Linked DNA regions of Canis lupus familiaris. The protein of the gene in region 1 binds, or shares a complex with, the protein of each later gene. Links are inferred from orthologs where the notes say so. Each region holds a gene or a part of one and is shown in the gene's direction. Other genes may lie near its edges. The genes, in order: INTS6, INTS4, INTS9, INTS12 and INTS2.

Region 1 (3,514 bases):
CAGTTCAGGTAATAATAACAATAGTAATAACTAACACTTACTGAATGCCTACTGTATACCAGACGATTTTATCTGTGCTTTACATATATTGATTCGTTTAATCCTGTGATGACCCTATGAAGTAGATATTATTGTCGTTTTACAAATGAGAAGCTTTAGACACAGAGAAGGTATAAAACCTGGTCTGGGGTCACAAAGCTAGTGAGTAGATGAGCCATAATCTACCCAATTACCCAAGGTAGAAATCTTCCATTTTTCTTGCCTCCTAAAAATTTACTTCCTAATTTCTGTTGAATCTATCTCTGTGGTATGTCTCTGCCCATTTCTTCCAAACTTAGTATCACCAATAATACCAAGGTATCTAGAACTTTACCCTTTCTTTTCCCAGGTGTTGTTAAAGTATAGCCTCTAATCCTTTTAAGCTACCTTTCATACCACTGGCAAACATTTTACTGAAATACAAATATGGTTACTCTCTTATTGAAAAAAAGAATTTTTTTTTTAAGAAATCTTCAAAACTGATAATACAGGTAGCCATACATTTTTGGCAAGCTTAGGATTGAGTGATGTTTTCTTTTTTCCTATAGCCTTTGAAGAAAGCTGTTAGAATGATGGGAGCACCTAACCTAATAGCAGACAGTATGGAATATGGACTTAGTTACAGTGTCATTTCATACCTCAAAAAATTGAGTCAACAGGTAACGTTAAGAAATAGAGCTGTTAAGTATTTTGAATGGTTTTGGCTAAGATGCTTAATAGGCCAGATGTTAGTTCTGTGATGGTATGTCATATTAATATATTATGTTTTAAAACCACATATATCATAGATTATTAACATAATTCAGTGTCAAGTACATAGTATGCTGTGTTTTGGAATGTTAATTTCAATTAATAATAGTTTGTAGAGATGGCTTCATTGTTGTGGTCCTAGACTTTTTATCTGTGGAACATTCTTTGTTTTGAGAAATTTATGTTAGAAAGCTGTTTTTCTTAGACAAAGATGAGTTTCTTTTGCTTAATGTTTTAAAATCTGTAGTTTTTTTTAATTCAAAAATGGGAATTACTTTTGAAATATTTGTAAAAAACTGAATATTGACATTTTGAGCATAAATCACATTAGTAGATGCTCTGCTGGTCAAGCAGTATACACTTAGATTGCCAAGATATTAATACTATATAAAATACGTTGTTTTTCTAGTACTTCTGCCGTCTGTAGTTAAAATGCTCATTGAGATGTACGTTGGAAGGCATCAAAATATCGTTGTTTTCCAATGAAAAACTACATCATTTTTTATACCTATGAACATTTAATTATGTGCTAATAATAGTATTTAAATAAATACCGATGAGATTTTTTTCCCCTAATTTTATATCACCTCTGAATTGGAAATCCATATTTTCATTTAGGGTGCACTTACATTTCATGGTTTAAGTGTAGTGGATATTAGTATATAAAAATAAATTGAAGTTGTTTTTGTTTGCCCTGCTCCAAAAGGTTATAATTGAATTGATTTAAAACTGTAAGACAGGCAGCCCTGGTGGCTCGGCGGTTTAGTGCCACCTTCAGCCCAGGGCCTGATCCTGGAGATTTGGGATCGAGTCCCACATCGGGCTCCCTGCAGCAAGCCTGCTTCTCTCCCTCTGCCTATGTCTCTGCCCCTCTGTCTCTCTCTCTCTCTCTCTCCCCGTGTTTCTCATGAATAAATAAAATCTTAAAAAAAAAAAACAAAGCTAAGACATTATTATTTAAACTATATTTAATTTACTGAGAACTTGACATAAACTATGCTACCTGGGTTTTTAATTAAGTACATACTTTTTATAACATAAATATTTAATATATGGAAGACCAAGACTGTTAGTATTTAATTTGTTGATTTAGATTATGTCCAGACTAAATCTTACTTATTTTTACTTTAGGCTAAAATAGAATCTGACCGAGTCATCGGATCTGTAGGCAAAAAAGTAGTACAGGAAACTGGAATTAAAGTTCGAAGCCGATCACATGGTTTATCAATGGCTTATAGGAAAGATTTTCAACAGTTGCTCCAGGGAATTTCAGAGGATGTTCCTCACAGACTGCTAGACCTTAATATGAAAGAATACACTGGGTTCCAAGTTGCTTTGCTTAATAAGGTAAATGTTATATGAATTTAGTACTGCTCCAGCTATATTCTGTTGAATTGTTAAATAATCAAATTTCCTATTAACTAATAATTTTAGTTTGTCCAAGCTTTAGAAGTACTTCTATACCTCCGAAGAATAATGATCATTAATACTATTACTGAATCATTGAATTTTAGAATCAAAACAAACATTATGTATGCTGAGTGGCTGAATAGATGGACTGATGAATAAACCAATCTATTCATTTTTATAGATGAGAAAACATATGGGGCACCTGGCTGACTGAGTAGAGCATGTGACTCAGGATCCTGGGGTTGTGAATTTGAGCCCCATTTTGAGTGTAGAGATTACTAAGAAAGAAAGACAATAGAGGCTTACAGGTTGCCTAACTAGTCATAGAGTTCACTGCATTTTGGTACTTATACTGATGACCTTGGGTACATCATAAAATGCTTTATGAATATTCATTATTTAAAAGATCCTTATCCCAGTAGCCTTTTATGTAGAAACAGACAAGCTGATCTAAAATTTATATGGAAATTCAAAGGTCCTAGAAAAAGAGTTTTGTAAAATAATAGTTACAAGACTTGTACTATCTAATTTTGAAAGTTACTGTAAAGTTGTAGTGATCATCAACAGTGTTAAGTTGTTGGCATATGGATAAACATATAGATCAGTAGAACAGAAGAGAGTCTGGAAGTAAGCCTTCACACGTATAGTCAGTTAACTTTTAACAAGTTTTAATAAGAGGTGCCAAAATAATTCAGTGGGTCAGAAGACAATCTCTTTAGAAATAGTGCTGGAACAATTGGATACCCATATTCAAAATAGTAAATTTGATCGTTACCTCATATTGAAGTGCTCATGAATCTTAAATGTAAAAACTAAAACTATAAACTTCTAGAAGAAAACAGAGAAAGTCTTTATGATGATGGGTCAGGAGTCATCGAAGGTTTCTCAGATATAACACAAAAAGCACACACACACAAAACTTGATAAATTGAGCTTCATTAAAATTTAAATTTTTGTCTACAAAAGAAATTCTGTAAAATGAACAGGCAAGCTACAGCCTGGGAGAAAATTATATATAGAAAAAAGAATTAGTATCAAAATATATAAAGAAGTCTGTCAACTCCGTGATTATAAGACAAACACAATAAAAAATTGGTAAAATATTTGAACAGATACTTCACCAAATAAGGTACACAAATTTGAACACACACATAAAAAGATCCTGTATCTTAATGACCATTAAGGAAATGCAAATTAAAACTAGTGAGATCCCACTTCCCATCCACTAGAATGGCTATACTTACTATATAACCAGCAGTTTTACTCCAAGGTGTATCTGTCTACATGAGAAAAACGAAGACAATAGCCATAGAAA
Region 2 (3,514 bases), on another chromosome or scaffold:
TTTGAAAATCAAAATAGAATTAAAATACCAGAGTATATCATAAGGTATAAGGGTAAACAATGTTTTGTTAAACTTTCTGTGTATATATTTGTATGTGAATATTATGCTGCAATATAATGGATATTTCTTACAGTGGGTCTAGAAAGTTTAAAAATCAGAGTTCCATGCCATATTATCATGTACTGTACAACTTCATTTCTCAAAGTATTTTTAGTTCCTATTACTGTATTATGCAAATAGCTTATTTCAGTAGCATTGGACTAGGTATAGCAAAAGATAACTGATATTTTAGTTTAAAATACTGGTGAGAAGAGCTAACATGAAAAGATTGACAGTACTTAAGTGTTGACAAGGATATGGCACAACTAGAACACTGTGCATCACTGGTGGAAGTGTAGATTAGTTAAATTAGTACAACTGGTTTGGAAAACTGTTTGCTATTTGGAATGCCTTCTTAAGCTGAACATATATACAAATCCTGTGACTCAGTAATTCCACCCCTAAGTTTATATCCAACAGAAAGCACATTCAAGCTACCACAGTCATGGTGGCATTATTAAGAATAACCAAAAACTGGAAAAAAAACAACAACAACAAATATCTGGGCAGCCCCGGTGGAGCAGTGGTTTGGCGCCGCCTGCAGACTGGGGTGTGATCCTGGAGACCTGGGATCAAGTCCCACATTGGGCTCCCTGCATGGAGCCTACTTCTTTCTCTACCTGTGTCTCTGCCTCTCTCTCTGTGTGTGTCTATGAATAAATAAATAAAATCTTAAAAAACAAAAACAAAAACAAATATCTACCAACAGTGGATTGTGGTATATTCACAAATGGAATAGGATATAGTAATGGAAGTGAATGAACCATTGCTATATGGATGGATCTTACAAATAAAATATTAAGCAAGAGAGGCCAGATATTATTTGATTTTACCAAGTATAGAAACAGGCAAAATCTATGTGTTATAAGTCAAGATAGTGGCTATTTTTGATGGTGGTGGAATAGTTAGTGGGAAGGGGGACCAGGAGGGTTTGTTGGGGTGCTGGTCATATTCTATTTCTTTATCTGGGTGCTTGTTTTATGTTTGTATTCCTTTTGTGAAAATTCATTGAGCTGTACACTTAAGGTTTTTGCATTTTTCTATATGAATATTAAATGTTTTAAAAATTGAGGGCACCTGGGTGGTTCTGCCAATTAAGCATCTGCCTTAGCTCAGGCCTGGAGTCCTGCGATCCAGCCCCATATCAGGCTCCCTGCTCTGTGGAGATCTTCGTTCTCCTTCTCCCTCTACCTGCCCCTCACCCTGCTTGTGCTCTCTCTCATTCTCTCTGTCACGTAAATAAATAAAATCTTTTTTAAAAAGGTTTAAAACTTTATAAATTTTTTGTTTTTAGATTTGCTAGATTATAAAATTCAATTTAAGGGCCATTTTGGGATACCTGGGTGGCTCAGTGGTTGAGCGTCTGCCTTTGACTCAGAGCATGATCTCAGAGTCCCTGGATCGAGTCCCATATCAGGCTCTCCAGAGGGAGCCTACTTCTCCCTCTGCCTATGTCTCTGCCTCTCTCTCTGTGTCTCTCATGAATGGATGAATAAAAATCTTTTTAAAAAAGGGGAGGGTCATTTTTAAAGTACCTTCTCTTAATAAGGCAAAGGGCTAGCTGTTGGGAATGTGGTGATAAACAAGTGGGGATCTTATTTTTTTTAAGGATTCTTGTTTTGGAAGACACATGGTCAAGTAACATGATCCTAGAGAGACTATGGTAAGAATGTGGTGTTTGAAGTCATTCCTAAATTGATACAATGCTTTTGCTTCTGGTTTTTAATTTAATTTAAGCTATCTTAATCATGTCTTTTTGTTCTCTCCTTCCTTTTTATAGCACCTCACAGATACCTCTCATGGTGTAAGAAATAAGTGCCTGCAATTACTTGGCAATCTTGGCTCTTTGGAGAAAAGTGTCACAAAAGATGGAGAAGGCCTAGCTGTCAGAGATGTCCAGAAGATTATAGGGGATTACTTCAGTGACCAAGACCCACGTGTCAGAACAGCAGCTATAAAAGCCATGGTAAGCATGATAATGGAAACTAAATGGTGACAGGTTTTATTTGTTTCATTCATTATTTTAAGTCCATGGCCAGTGTTAGCTTGGATGCTTTCTAAACCACTCCCGGATATACCTTATGCATGTTTTGAGGAATGTGATTAATGGCATCACAGAACTCAAAGGCACACATTCTTTGTATAGCAGGTGTGCTTTTCTTTAGGCCTCTGTGGTTGCTTTTACCCATATTTCTGAAACATGGAGGGTACAACTTACACCTGTTTTATTTATTTATTTATTTATTATTATTATTATTATTATTTTACACCTGTTTTAATACCAAGTCACATCCCTCCTCCAAGTCCCTGGAAGGGGAGGTGCTTTTTAGGAGGAGGTGGTGTTAACCATTTCTTCTTCAGCCTTCTTATCATTATTGAATATTTTTCTAGTATCTCCTGGGATAGTTGGATTAGATTTATTAAATCTCCTAGTGTTTCTATTAAGAAATCTTTGACCAGATTTCTTATTTATATAGCACTAATTTTGGGTAATGGGAACTGGTAATTTGATATAATGAGGGAGAATATATGAGATTGAGGGGGGAGATACTGGAAATGTTGATCTTTTTTTCTCCAAATACTTAAACTATATTTTTATTATCTAGTTGCAGCTTCATGAAAGAGGACTGAAATTACACCAAGCAATTTATAATCAGGTACTTTAAATGAGTACGATCTGGAAGGGGAGGAGTGATAATGAAACTGGGAGAGTAGTGTACTAGTTGTCAGAATTTGAACACACAGAGCAGCAACTGGCAGCATTAATTGGGATGAATGTGAAGTTGTGTCCAATATGTACGTTTTAATAAGAGGGTAGAGGATATATAATTGAATAACACTAATATATGTAAAAAGAGCTTTTAAAAGGATTTAGGTAGCTCAGTATGAATACACAAAGAGGAATATAGTGTTCAGAATAAGGAAAGTGGTGGTCTCACTGCTCTCTGGTTGAGCCAAACATGAAGTCAGTTCTGGGCTCCATGCTTGACATACTAGAGTATTTCTGAAGGAGAATAACAAGACCATGGGATCATATGAAAAAATATTTATAATAGTTGGTAAAGAAAGGGACAAAGAAGTTGTAGTATCCCTAGGAGAAATTGATTGGCTGCCTAAAGAAAAGGCGTTACAAGGCGGTATTTCTCTTGTAGAATAATTGAATGCCTCTAGGGACAAGGAGTCTAAATCTATGTCAGAAACCTCTTTTTTTTTTTTTTTTTAAGATTTTATTTATTTATTCATGAGAGAGGCAGAGACACAGGCAGAGGGAGAAGCAGGCTCCATGCAGGGAACCCGACATGGGACTTGATCCCGGGTCTCCAGGATCACACCCTAGGCCAAAGGCAGTGCTAAACCTCTGAGCCACCCGGGCTGCCCAGAAACCAGATTTTCCACCAATAATGGTTTTATCTTT
Region 3 (3,514 bases), on another chromosome or scaffold:
ACCTCCTTTCGTCCGTGTGATGTATTTTTGATTAAAGTTATTTTTAGATTTTTTTTTTTTTGCCTTCTTTCGTCCTTAAAATTATGTGGTATTTTAGACTCCAGTGATAGAAACAAAAGTTGAAAAGAAAAGAAAATGAAGAATGGTGGTCACAGAAGGCTCAGCTCCCTTCCCGCCGGGAACGAGCCAGTGGGTGTGGAAAGCCGGCCTTGGCTGGCACCAGCCATCGCCATCTGTGAGCTCTGAGGAGGCCGAGCCGCGGCCCAGCGCGGCCTCCTGGTCCCGACTTGGGGTGGCGAGGCTGCAGCACCTCGCCCCCCACATTTAGTTGAGGCCCACTGAAACCCGTTTGCTTCCAGCTCGCGGATGCGCTGGTGCCCATGGAGATTAAGCCTGGCATTTCCTTGGCAACCGTCTCGGCTGTGCTGCACACGAAAGATAACAAGCACGTCCTTCAGGTACGGGGGAGGGTGGGCCGGGCTCATGTCCCTGAGGAGCCGCTGGGGCCTGTGAAGCCCAGGAACCCCCAGATACCCCCACCAGTGGTCCCAGGACTCCCGCCAGCACAAGCCAGAGACCAGACTCCTTAATGGATGAGATGTGAAACAGAGAGAACACTGCGTATAAATTCTTCGCTACTTGTTCTCTGGCCACATGCCTCAGAGAGAGAAAAGGGAAGAGCAGCTATTATTCATGGAGCTGGGGCCGCACCTCACCCTGAGTGCCCTTCCCGCCTCCGAAAGTACTGGTGGTGCTCACAGCTCCCACGGGCACCTTCCTCAGACCCGCGGTGCGGAGCACAGCACCAGGCGGCGGGAGCCCCCAGAGTGGTGGGCAGCCCTTAGGCCCCAGGAGGCCTCCCCTACCCAACATGCCTGTGGGGCGGGCAGCAGCTGGGCACCTGTGAGCCACCCCAGCCCACAGACTGCAGCGCCTTGTCCCGGCACCTCGTGCCCCACCTCCACCCCGTGTTTACCGCCTCGTGGGGCAGCTCCTTGGGCCCTGCTCCTCACCCCTGAGAAGAACTCTTTCTACACTTGGGACTGTGCTGCCATGTAAAATATGCGAGGTGCCATCCTAGGTCCTTGTCATCCTTACTTCTCACCTTCCCACTTCATCCTCACAAAATTCTCACAAAATCACCATCACTTTATAGGCAGTTTCTCTGACTTTCATTTTAACCCATCAGCTTGACCCCATAGCTGGTGGCCTTGGCCACCGTGCTGCTGTCACACCTACAGTTATCAGCACAGTTTATTATTAAGAATTTACTCAGAAAATACCAAAATGAATCCTTTAAAAATTAAAAATGAGTCTTGCTAAAAGGAAGATTTCTTTGCCAGAAAAGGCACTGATGTTGTGTGGATGCTTTGGCATTAGCTTCTGTTATAAAGAACACCTCGTGGAGCCCCCAGCTCCTGGCAACCCTGAACTCCAGGGCCAGCTGACCTCACAGCAGGGATGAGTCCGGACCGGGGTGCTGGGGCCTCCTTCAGGGAGGGCAGCAGTGCCCAGGGAGGGATGGGCAGATGGGCTCTGGCTGTGGCCTGCGCTGACCTCCCCTGTACTCAGGGTGAGGGGCTTGATGAGGTTGTGTTTTCTCCGGCTCTAGCCTCCCCCCAGGCCCACCCAGCCCACAGGTGGTAAGAAGAGAAAGCGGGCAAGCGATGACATCCCAGACTGCAAAGTGCTGAAGCCACTGCTGAGCGGCTCCATCCCTGTAGAACAGTTTGTGCAGACGCTGGAGAAGGTGAGTGCTGCCCAGACTGCACAGGAGCCGGATGTTGCTCCTTTTTCTCCATCTCCACTGTCTGAGCTACTGACCCTGAAGCCTCTGCTTGATCCAGGGTCATGGCAGGAACAGAACCAGGGGAGGGTCCCAGAGAGTTGAGAGAAGACCATGCCCCCTCTTCCCTGTAGGTCCCCCATTTCTTCTCTGCCAGCCCCTTCCTTCCCGTGAGACCCCAGGCCCCTAGAAGACTGCCTCACCACACCCCATTTCTTATGGGAACGAGACCAAGGAAGGCCCTTCAGAAACCTAGGTGCGACAGATGGGCAGGGGGGAAAGGCCAGATAAAGAAAACTTAGTAAGTCTGCCCCTTGGAGCCTCACTTTTCAAGAAGATCCTTGCTGTCAGAGCGCCAGCCTGGCTGTGTCACAGGAGACGGGAGGCGCGGGACTGGGGGGCAGTGAGGACAGAGGTGCTACTAGATCCCTGGGAGTTGGAGAAGCAGACAGGAGGCAAGAAGGGGAAGCAGTAGGCGGTCCTCTGGTGTCAGCCTCCAGCCATTAGTTGTTTAATCTTCCCTGAAGGAGAGACCACAGCCAAGTTGTGCGGCTCTCCTGGCCCGAGGGTGGAAACGCTGTATGGGAGTTAGCACTGATGCTGTGACGTGGCAGGGCCGGCTTCCTCGGGACCGAGCAGTGCTCTGGCCCCTATTGGTAGGACTCTGCTTGACTTGTTTTTTAAAAGCTCGAAACAACTTGCTTTCCCAGAATCCCCTGCACTTAGTTCTTCTGCTTGGCTCATCTAGCAGTTGACCCTTAGGATCTGACCCTGACTCTCTCCACCATTTCTGCGTCATCTCCTCCTGCAAGAGGAATAGCAGTGCCTGCCCCAGCCTGCACACGAGCTTTCTAGGACTAAGGGTTGAGATTCCCTAGCCTATGTCCATTACCTATCTTGTGGCCCTTTCAAGCAAGTCAGTCTTATTTCTATTTCTTTTCCTCTCTCTCAACTTTGTGTGATGTGTAAGAAAATTCTGTAACTCACATTAAGGTAGCTGGAGAAGTATTTGCCCTGCCGCCTTGTCTCCTCCCTCAAGAAGGATTTGCCAAATCACAAGGTCACTGGTATCTTGCTTTGAGGAATGGTATTTTCCTGGGACAGGATGGAGCTTTTTTCTAATCAGGGACCATTGGCAGAGTTTGGAGGCTGCTGATAGAAAGCCCAGGGTCCTAGACTCCTGAACCAAGCTCTTGGATGTGCTCCTCAAGATAGCTCACAAAAGCTTAAGCGGGTTGTAGAAACTTTGTTGTGTTTTGCATGAGATCTTGGATGTTTGGAGGCTTCTTTTAAAGTATATGAAGCTGTGTTTGAATTCCATTGCTGTAGAAGGTCCTATGACAAGTCTGAAGAATTATATTAGGGAGCATAAAAAAATGACAGTTTTTAGAATGTTCAGTTTAGCCAAGGCTACGAAGTGTCATTTCTCAGAACCGTCAGTTGCTCCCATGTCCTCCTGCCTTTCAGTCCACCCCTTGCTTCAGAGTATCCATCATCCTCCTTTCTCTTTTCTTTTGGAGCAGCATGGCTTCAGCGATATTAAGGTAGAAGACACAGCGAAGGGCCATATTGTCCTGCTCCAGGAAGCTGAGACACTCATCCAGATTGAGGAAGATTCAACTCATATCATCTGTGACAATGATGAGGTGCTCAGGGTACGACTGCGGGACCTCGTTCTCAAATTCCTACAGAAGTTCTAAATGGAACAGCTAAGCCATTTCTACTTCA
Region 4 (4,238 bases), on another chromosome or scaffold:
GTAGAAGTGTAAAATAATAATAATAATAAAATAGATAATCTGATAAAACAATTCTCAAATCTCACCGATCTCATCACAGATTTGTTTTTAAAGTTAGACCTCTTAAAATAAGGTCTTCAGGTAGAACTCAAACATGATTTCACGTTGTGAGTATGCCTTAAGGCAATCCTCTTAGTAGCGTATACTCCCCACCAGGCAGTTAAATTAAAAAAAAAAAAAAAACTCAACATGGCTTAAAGTTTGATTTATTAAATATGACAGCAAATCATTCAGTTGTATTTGTAAGAGAATTTATTTTCACAGTATTCAATGACCATGTTTACAAATCGCCACATTCTTGCCAGCTTTTTCATTTTTCTCTAATACTTTTTCTATAGGGAGGCTTGGAAAAAGAACTACGCTATTAAAAATCAATAACTTAGCACAAGATAGATTATCAAACGGTAACATTCAAGAATTTAGGACAAGAAATGGGATCCCGGGCTCAAGAATAAAGGGATTAAAAAACAAGTCACCTCATTCCAAACGAGGTGGAGTTGAGGCGGGAAATACGGGTGTTCGTGAACGTTTCCGAAACCGAAGCAATCTTTCATGCAAGTCAAACTTTCTACTCAAACTCGAACTTGTTTAAGACCGAACTGAAACGCTGCTTTGACAGTGTAAAAGAAAAACAGCCGCAAACGACGCAAGTCCTCTGGAGCAACTGTTCAGCAGTCCTCACGTACAACTGCTTTCTCTAACCGGGAAGGCACGGAATAAAATGCTAAGTGTCAAAGAGAGAGGGGGAAGGAAAAAAAAAAAAAAAAAGTTAAAGCGTGCCAAAAAGGTCTTAAAGCGACACTTAGCAGCAAACGGCAAACGACTCCACGGACTCCTGCAAAGAGAAGCTGCTCTAGTCCCCATCAGCAGAGGGAGCCACGGGGACTGGCCCTGGGAAACCTGGGAAGGGGCCCGGGGCCCTCCACCAGCTCCCTCAGAGGCTGTGACCGCCCAGGAGGGGCCCAGCGCTGGAGAAAGCTCGGGACACTCACTGCAAGCCCTTGCCTCTCCCGCCCCCCCGCCTCCTCCCCATCCCCGTCTCGCAGCATCAGCCGGGTCGCCTCCGGATGCAAAGAGCAGTCGCGGGGGGGGGGGGGGGGGGGTCAGGGGGACCGCGGAGTCCGCAGCCTGAGCTCCCTCCTTACCTGGTCGCAGAGGCGCGGCCAGGCAGGGAGGGTGCGTGAGTGTGTCAGCGACACGAGCCGCCTGCGCCTTCCCACCCCGCGTGAGTTTTCCGAGGCAGCTTCTGCGAGTCTTCGCCCACGGACCGCGGGCGGCCAGAGAGGCCGGGAAGGGGCACGCGGCAGGCACGCCGTCTTGGAAACAGCCGCGTCCGCCGTCATTCATAATCCGGCGGACCGGAAGCCGGGGTTACGTCACTTCCCGCCGTGGCACAGCCGAAAACTTCCCCCCTTCACGGCGCGGCAGGAACCTTTGTTTCCCCGTAGTCGGAGCCGGCGAGTTCCGGGAGCGGTTCGGAAGGGGCCCCCGGGAACGGACGGAGCAGCGGGGCGGAGCGGTGAGTTGTGACGAGCTCCCCGGCTCCCAGCCGCCTCTGGGAGGCTCGAGACCTCCGCGAGGGGCGAGGCGGGAGAGGAGCTTCGTGGGGTCTTAGTTCCCTGGCTGCTGAGGGGGCAGCGTCGTCACTGGCGGGCGGCCGCGCGCCCGGGCTGACTGCCCTCTCCCTGCGGCGGGGCGGGGGCGGGGGCGGGGGCGGGGGGTGGTGCCGAGCCTCCTCCTGCAGTGCTGTGGGCTGGGGCTCTCCGGCTCGGCTCGGCCCGGCCCGGCCCCGGGGACTGGTCCCTGCAGCCCGGTGCCCGACCTTCCCCGCAGGGTTTTGGCGACTTCTCTGGGCAGCTCCCTCCTTCCGCCTCGCCTGTCCTCTCGGACTTGCTCCTCGAAGACCTTCTCCCGTGCTAGGCCTGCGGTGTCCTGCTTTGATCAAAGGACTGACATCCCTTTTCTGAGCGTCTTCGGCCCCTTTTTTTTTTTTTTTTTTTTTTTTAAATTTTTATTTATTTATGATAGTTACAGAGAGAGAGAGAGAGAGGCAGAGACACAGGCAGAGGGAGAAGCAGGCTCCATGCACCGGGAGCCCGATGTGGGATTCGATCCCGGGTCTCCAGGATCACGCCCTGGGCCAAAGGCAGGCGCCAAACCGCTGCGCCACCAGGGATCCCATTCGGCCCCTTTTTTTCAGCTTCTCTTGTCACTCGGTTGGTTTGGAGTCGTGGTCCTTCCGTTTCCCCTGCGTTTCCAGACATGTCCCTAAGATATCAGTGTAACCCAGGGCCGAGAATTCAGTAGAGGACTGAAACGGGCAGCAGCTTTAAAAGATTTTTTTTTTAATCTTTTTTTTAAAAAAGGCTGTTTTTGCAAGAGCTTCCAAAGACATGAAAGGGCAAAGCTTGCTAGAGCTGGTAGGAGATGGCAACCCTAATATTGCACTCGGTGTGAATAGGTGGTTTCCTTTATCTTGTGTCCTTGCACGTGCAGATGATCAACTCTGGACTTTTTTTTTTTTTTTTTAGATTTTATTTATATATTCACACAGAGAGAGGCAGAGACACCGGCAGAGGGAGAAGCAGGCTCCCTGCGCGGAGCCCCATGCGGGGACTCCATCCCAGGACCCCCGGGGTCACAACCTGAGCCAAAGGCAGATGCTCAACCCCTGAGCCACGCAGGTGTCCCAACTCCGGACTGTTTTTTTAAAAAAAAAGATTAGCATGTAGAATGAGAAATTGGGGATTTGGGGAAAGCATTGTGAATATCCAGTTTCGGTGGGAAAGATCACAGAAGCCCCAGAAAGTGATTTTTAAATAAAACCTAGTTCATTCACTCAGTAAATATTTTTGAGAGGCTAAGTTTCGAACCCTAGATACATAACTGAATAAAATAAGTTTCTTGCCCTCATGAAGTTACAGTCCAGTGTAATTAATGAAGGTAAAGCCAGGTAAAGGATTGGGAAGAGAGTGAGTACTGCAGAGAGGAACATTGTACAAGTCTCTAGTCATCAAAGAGGTGACTTTTGTTTATGTTTCTTTTACTGTTGCTTTTTTGATGTTTGAGAGGTTTGGTGGAGGCGCAGGAGGTACAGGGAAGATGGGTTTGCGTTTCTTACTGCTCTTTGCAAAGGGACTTTGTAAATTGGTTAGAATTGTGTAGGAGGGAAAAGACCATTACACTTTACTTTGATCCCTAATAATTCTAATAGCTGTTATTTTATGGTACTTTGCAAGGTAGCCATGTGATAGTAAAAAAGAAATGTAGAATCTCCTCCCTTAAAGTACTCAATAGTTTTATAGGGAATATAACTCTTGTGCAAAACAACAACAAAAGTATGGCTCAAGGTAGAAAGTCCTAGTACCACCAGAAAGCAGTATGATGTATCCTGGGAGGGAGAGATTTTTAGTAGTGTTTGGGATGGATAAGGACACACCAGCAGTGAAGAATCCACATGAGAAATAATATTTGAACATAAAATTTAGACATCTAAAAAATGGGTAAAAAGCTTCCCGGACAGAGAAAAAATAAGCAGAGGTGTCAAGACAAGCGAATGGCTCTTCTGTATAAGAATTAAGTTTTTGTGCCAGTGAGAGTCTTTTCAGAATTGGGCTTTATTTTGAAGACAGTAGGAAGTTTTAATTTTTTTGAAGATTTTATTCATTCTTGAGAGACAAGAGAGACCTAGGCAGAGGGAGAAGCAGGTTTGCAAGGAGCCCAGTGTGGGACTTGATCTCAGATCGCGGGATCACGCCCTGAGCCAAAGACAGACACTCAACCACAGAGCCCCCTAGGCATCCCAGGAAGTTTTAATTTTTGAGGAAGAAAATGAAAAAGAAAGAAGAAATGTGTTTTGGGAACATGAGTATAGCTGTAGTGCTGAAGTCAAGGAGAATAGCTACATTACTGCTATACCACAAAACTTAAAAGACATGAATTGGAGTAGTAGCAGTGGAAGTGAAAAATGGAACAAATGTGAGGAATGTTGCAAAGTACCATAGGGAAGGCCTACTGATTTTTTGGTTATACAGAATAAGAGAGGATTTAGTGAGGGAAGGATTTAGGCCTCAGACTAGATTAGCAGAGAGTTGTGTCATTCATTGAAAAAGTACAGGACAAACTTTTGGGAGAAAGTATTCATAATCTCAATTTTAGCCATAACTGAATTTGAGATACCATTAGGGCAACCAGGTAGA
Region 5 (4,245 bases), on another chromosome or scaffold:
CGGGTCTCCAGGATCACACCCCAGGCTGCAGGCGGCGCTAAACCGCTGCGCCCCAGGGGCTGCCCCCCCAAAAAAAATCTTGAAAAAAAAAAGTGGGTATACATGCATATATGTCCTAGATCACAATGTGAAATGTATTATTGTAGGTGGAAAAAAGTTTGAGAAACATTGCAACACATGTTAGTTTTCTTCCTTTGCTGATTTTTTTTAAAATTTTTATTTATTTATGATAGTCACAGAGAGAGAGAGGCAGAGACACAGGCAGAGGGAGAAGCAGGCTCCATGCACTGGGAGCCCGACGTGGGATTCGATTCTGGGTCTCCAGGATCGCGCCCTGGGCCAAAGGTAGGCGCTAAACCGCTCCGCCACCCAGGGATCCCTCCTTTGCTGATTTTTAATGCTGAAAGCACACTTTATTAGAAGATTATCACTCTGTGAAAGCCTTGGAAACTATATGGTATGAAGTTCTAGCTCTGTAAGATATTTGTTTCCAGCTTGTAGCACGGTATCTGGTAAACAGAAGGTGCTAAATGCACACAGATTGAACCAGGAACTAGAAATAAAATGAAAATATAGACAGATTAGTTAATCTTTTCTGGATGCTTAACACTCCATTTGAGAGGTTGTTCCAAGTTTGGACCCTTTTTCCAGAAGTGCCAAGCACTCACACTTTTGCAGGTTCCAGAGAATTCCAAAAACTCCACCCATCACTTTCTAAGGATCTATGGGCCCTAAGTGTTTGGTTTTTGTTTTTAAATTGAACTACAGATGACGCACAATGTTACATTAGTTTCTGGTGTCCCCATATAGGGATCGGGCAATTCTGTATGTTATGCTGTATGCTGCTCTCCACAAGTGCAGCTACCCTCTATTATAATACCGCTGACTATAATTTCTATGTTGTATGGGAGTTATTCATTCCGTAACTAGAAGTCTGTACCTCCCCCTCCCCCATTTTTCCCATTCCCCCAACCTTTGACCGTAAAGTACAGATCCCTGAAATTAAGGTGTTTAACTTGCCACCCTGAAGGTGTGAGGTCAAGAGCCTAAGCAAGCTCAGGAAGAGACTGAATTTGCATTCGCCTATACATGCTGGGATTCTGGAACTTCGGTGCTCGGAGGGCACAGGCAGAGATGGAAAGAGGAGCACAGCCTGATTCCATTAATGTTCCGGTCAAAGAACAGTGTAAGCCATTTTAACATTTCTTTTACCTACTTGGCTTATTCAAGTGCTACAAAAATCCCGGGGTAGCGAAACTTCAGCTTGGAGGAGCTTAAGCGCTCAATCGAAAAGGGACACAGACGGCGGGCGCGCTTCGCCGAAGACCCTGGAAGCTCCGTTGTCAACGAGGGAGGGGATGTAGTTACGCGGGGCAACGGCGGGGAGGAAGGGGTGGGGCCGCGCACGCGCACGCGCACGCGCACCGTCGCCGCGACGCCGACGCCTCTGGGTTTCCTTTCGCAGCCAGCGGTCCCCTCAGTCCAGTACGGTGGCCGACGGGAGCCCTACGCTGGGGATGAATGAAGGTGCTGGGTGCAGGTTGAAACAGCCCCCCTCCGCGTCCCCCTCCCTTCAGAGCGGGTTCTGCCTTTGTGCTTGTGCTGTGTCCCCATGCAGCCTAGCGCGCTGCCGACCCCGTTGGTCCCGGCGTCTGGGTTTGCCGGTGTCTGGGTCGACTCAGGGCACAGCTCGGGGTGGCGAATCGGGGTTTTCGCCTAGGCCCAACCCGGGATCGCGCTCTGGATTTCTACGGCGTCCCACCTCTAGGGCGCGGAATCCTGGTTTGGTCCCGGGAGGTTGGAGGGTGAATCTTAAGGTATGAAGCTTCCGCCTCTCAGGCCTGAGCGCGTTCCGGGTTCCACGTCGGTCACTGGCCTTGCCTCTCTCCGCCAGAGGGACTGGTTGGTTCTCCTCACGCTGCGGGCGAGCCCTGTGAGCACACACGGGGCTTGGCGCCTCTGCTTGCTCAGCCCGCCCCTCCGTTAAAAGGCCAGCTCCGCTTGCTTCAAAACAAAGTAACGTTTCTGCCCACGGCTCTGTTAACCCACGATTTTGGCGAGTTTGTGGTTTTTTAGAGGGGATGACTTTGGCCACCCGCTCTCTGCCTTTTTTTTTCCCCCTCCCTTCTGATGATTAGCGAAGACAGAGAAGTGCCCAAGTGGAACTCGTCTTTCTCCCATAGCTAATTGCACCTCCACAGCTGTTTGTTTTTTTTTCCCAAAGGAGCACAGGGACATTAAGATAATGTTACGGCCTCCAGAATGTTGAATCTGGCATTGCATGTGGCAAGTGAGGAGATTTAGCTTCCATTGACTTGTGGAGGGTGAGAAAGAGAAGCCTGACAGTTTTTTTTTTTTTTTTGTTTTTTGTTTTTTTTTTTTGCATTTGTTGGGTAGGCAGAAGAAACTAAAGACGTACAGAAGAGGGGCATTCTTAACAGTACTCCGCACTTTTATTTGCATTGTAGTGCTCAGTTGATTGAGGCTGTGGAGAAAGTCTTGGACTGAGATTTAGCAGATGAGGGTTCAGCCTTGGATTTTGCCACTAGTTAGTTATCACTGTATGCCTGTTACTTAATCTCTCTGGGCTTTATATTTCTCCTTTGCAAAATAAGTACTAGAACAGAAGATCTCTAGGGCTGGAGGAGATATTACTGTATTCTCTTTTCTTTATCATTTTTAAAAATTAATTAATTATTAATATATGTATTTTTCTTTATCATTTTTTAGATGGGAGTAAAAACAGGGAACCTTTGTGCCAGAAACATAGCCAGCATAGGGGCCTATTAAAGATACACCACTTTTCTCAGGGTATTTAAAAAGAGGAGCATTCATACATATAGGAGTTAAACCTACTTTCTTTCTTTCTTTTTTTTTTTTTTAATAGGATCAACAGTGATAATGGCTGAGTGTACAAATCTTCAGTTTGTCAGCCCTTTTGCTTTTGAGGCAATGCAGAAGGTGGATGTTGTTCGGTTGGCATCTCTAAGTGATCCAGAATTAAGACTTCTCCTGCCTTGCTTGGTGCGGATGGCGCTTTGTGCTCCTGCTGACCAGAGCCAAAGCTGGGCTCAGGATAAAAAACTGATCCTTCGTCTTCTCTCTGGAGTGGAAGCTGTCAACTCCATTGTTGCATTGTTGTCTGTGGACTTTCATGCTTTAGAACAGGATGCCAGCAAAGAACAGCAGCTTAGGTAATGTGTTATATAATATGTGGACTGGGATTTACTTAGATATGCCAAAGAAGAGAGAATCAAATATATCTTGGGAACTTTTACGATTTTTTTTTTTTTATTGGATGCACTCTCCCAGAAAAGATTGAGAATCTAAACTTTGGAGAGCATATTACGTAGTTCTTTTCTATTTATAGTTAAAATTCCAGGATCTTTTGAATTCCATATTCTAAAATGTGTAGAGGAGTTTGGCCAGATACACTGTCGTATTCATACTAAACTGATTAGGTCGATTACTCTCAGTGGGAAGTGGGTAGGGTAAGTTCCCCTAGAATAGAATAATTATTGGAATCACTCAGAAGGCTTTTTTTTTTTTTTTTTAAGATTTTTATCTATTTATTTGACAGAGAGGACAAGCAGGGAAGCAAGAGGACAAGAGGGAGAGGGAGAAGCAGACTCCCCACTGAGCAGGGAGCCAGATGCAGGACTTTATCCCAGGACACCAGGATCTTGACCTGAGCCAAAGGCAGATGCTTGACGTACTGAGCCACCCAGGCACCCCAAAGCCTTTTTAGCTTACATTGATTTCACAAAATTCTGGACAGTTGTTCAGTTCTTCCCTGCCCATTGCGACTCTAGTAGTGAGCCATTCTTGTTCATTGAAGTGGGTGTTAACTGTTAGTTGAGTCTTTATATATAGGTTGTGAATCCCTGAAATAGGCAAACTAAATAGTGTTTCAAAAATAATACACTCATGAAATGTATGAAAAGAATTCATACATTCGTTTGTAGATTATTTCAACAAAAGATAATTTTATGTTATTTTTATGTCAGTGTTCTTACCATTGTGGTTTTTACACATTTCTGCTTTATTAGGCATAAACTTGGAGGAGGCAGTGGAGAGAGCATCCTGGTATCCCAGCTTCAGCATGGATTGACATTGGAGTTTGAACACAGTGATTCACCTCGTCGATTGCGTCTTGTGCTTAGTGAACTGTTGGCAATAATGAACAAGGTGCATTTATTTTAATCACATCTCAAAATATGCATGATTTGTTGTCTACACATAGTA

The links.
Region 2: INTS6 (region 1) and INTS4 share a complex: the UniProt entries of both Homo sapiens proteins name them as parts of the integrator complex. The link is inferred for Canis lupus familiaris from reciprocal best matches to the Homo sapiens genes INTS6 and INTS4.
Region 3: INTS6 (region 1) and INTS9 share a complex: the UniProt entries of both Homo sapiens proteins name them as parts of the integrator complex. The link is inferred for Canis lupus familiaris from reciprocal best matches to the Homo sapiens genes INTS6 and INTS9.
Region 4: INTS6 (region 1) and INTS12 share a complex: the UniProt entries of both Homo sapiens proteins name them as parts of the integrator complex. The link is inferred for Canis lupus familiaris from reciprocal best matches to the Homo sapiens genes INTS6 and INTS12.
Region 5: the proteins of INTS6 (region 1) and INTS2 are in contact, whole or in part, in a cryo-EM structure (PDB 8RBZ), measured with the Homo sapiens proteins. The link is inferred for Canis lupus familiaris from reciprocal best matches to the Homo sapiens genes INTS6 and INTS2. Residues at the interface, in NP_036273.1 of Homo sapiens: Ile484, Val486, Arg487, Ser488, Arg489, Phe527, Gln528, Val529, Ala530, Leu531, Leu532, Asn533, Phe541, Arg542, Asn543, Ala544, Tyr545, Ile547, Arg549, Leu552, Leu553, Leu556, Met559, Arg560, Asn562, Leu563, Leu564, Lys565; in NP_065799.2 of Homo sapiens: Ile855, Asp856, Pro857, Leu858, His895, Arg923, Glu925, Leu926, Lys927, Ala929, Leu930, Ala932, Ala933, Gln934, Ser936, Ala937, Gln940, Ile941, Glu944, Asn1010, Lys1013, Leu1014, Phe1017, Gln1018, Gly1019, Tyr1020, Pro1021, Ile1046, Ala1047, Gln1048.

Annotation. Positions count from the first base shown.
Region 1 is NC_049243.1:591,657-595,170, forward strand, and holds part of INTS6 (integrator complex subunit 6), read left to right. Parts: intron 1-587; coding exon 588-698; intron 699-1,920; coding exon 1,921-2,136; intron 2,137-3,514. UniProt on the Homo sapiens protein: Component of the integrator complex, a multiprotein complex that terminates RNA polymerase II (Pol II) transcription in the promoter-proximal region of genes.
Region 2 is NC_049242.1:20,974,612-20,978,125, forward strand, and holds part of INTS4 (integrator complex subunit 4), read left to right. Parts: intron 1-1,879; coding exon 1,880-2,065; intron 2,066-2,705; coding exon 2,706-2,756; intron 2,757-3,514. UniProt on the Homo sapiens protein: Component of the integrator complex, a multiprotein complex that terminates RNA polymerase II (Pol II) transcription in the promoter-proximal region of genes.
Region 3 is NC_049246.1:28,940,308-28,943,821, forward strand, and holds part of INTS9 (integrator complex subunit 9), read left to right. Parts: intron 1-359; coding exon 360-458; intron 459-1,612; coding exon 1,613-1,750; intron 1,751-3,309; coding exon 3,310-3,486; 3' UTR 3,487-3,514. UniProt on the Homo sapiens protein: Component of the integrator complex, a multiprotein complex that terminates RNA polymerase II (Pol II) transcription in the promoter-proximal region of genes.
Region 4 is NC_049253.1:13,347,290-13,351,527, forward strand, and holds the start of INTS12 (integrator complex subunit 12), read left to right. Parts: upstream 1-1,424; 5' UTR 1,425-1,558; exon of another isoform or gene 1,559-1,725; intron 1,726-4,238. UniProt on the Homo sapiens protein: Component of the integrator complex, a multiprotein complex that terminates RNA polymerase II (Pol II) transcription in the promoter-proximal region of genes.
Region 5 is NC_049230.1:34,713,402-34,717,646, forward strand, and holds the start of INTS2 (integrator complex subunit 2), read left to right. Parts: upstream 1-1,431; 5' UTR 1,432-1,517; coding exon of another isoform or gene 1,518-1,521; coding exon 1,522-1,540; intron 1,541-1,557; exon of another isoform or gene 1,558-2,187; intron 2,188-2,887; coding exon 2,888-3,194; intron 3,195-4,049; coding exon 4,050-4,188; intron 4,189-4,245. UniProt on the Homo sapiens protein: Component of the integrator complex, a multiprotein complex that terminates RNA polymerase II (Pol II) transcription in the promoter-proximal region of genes.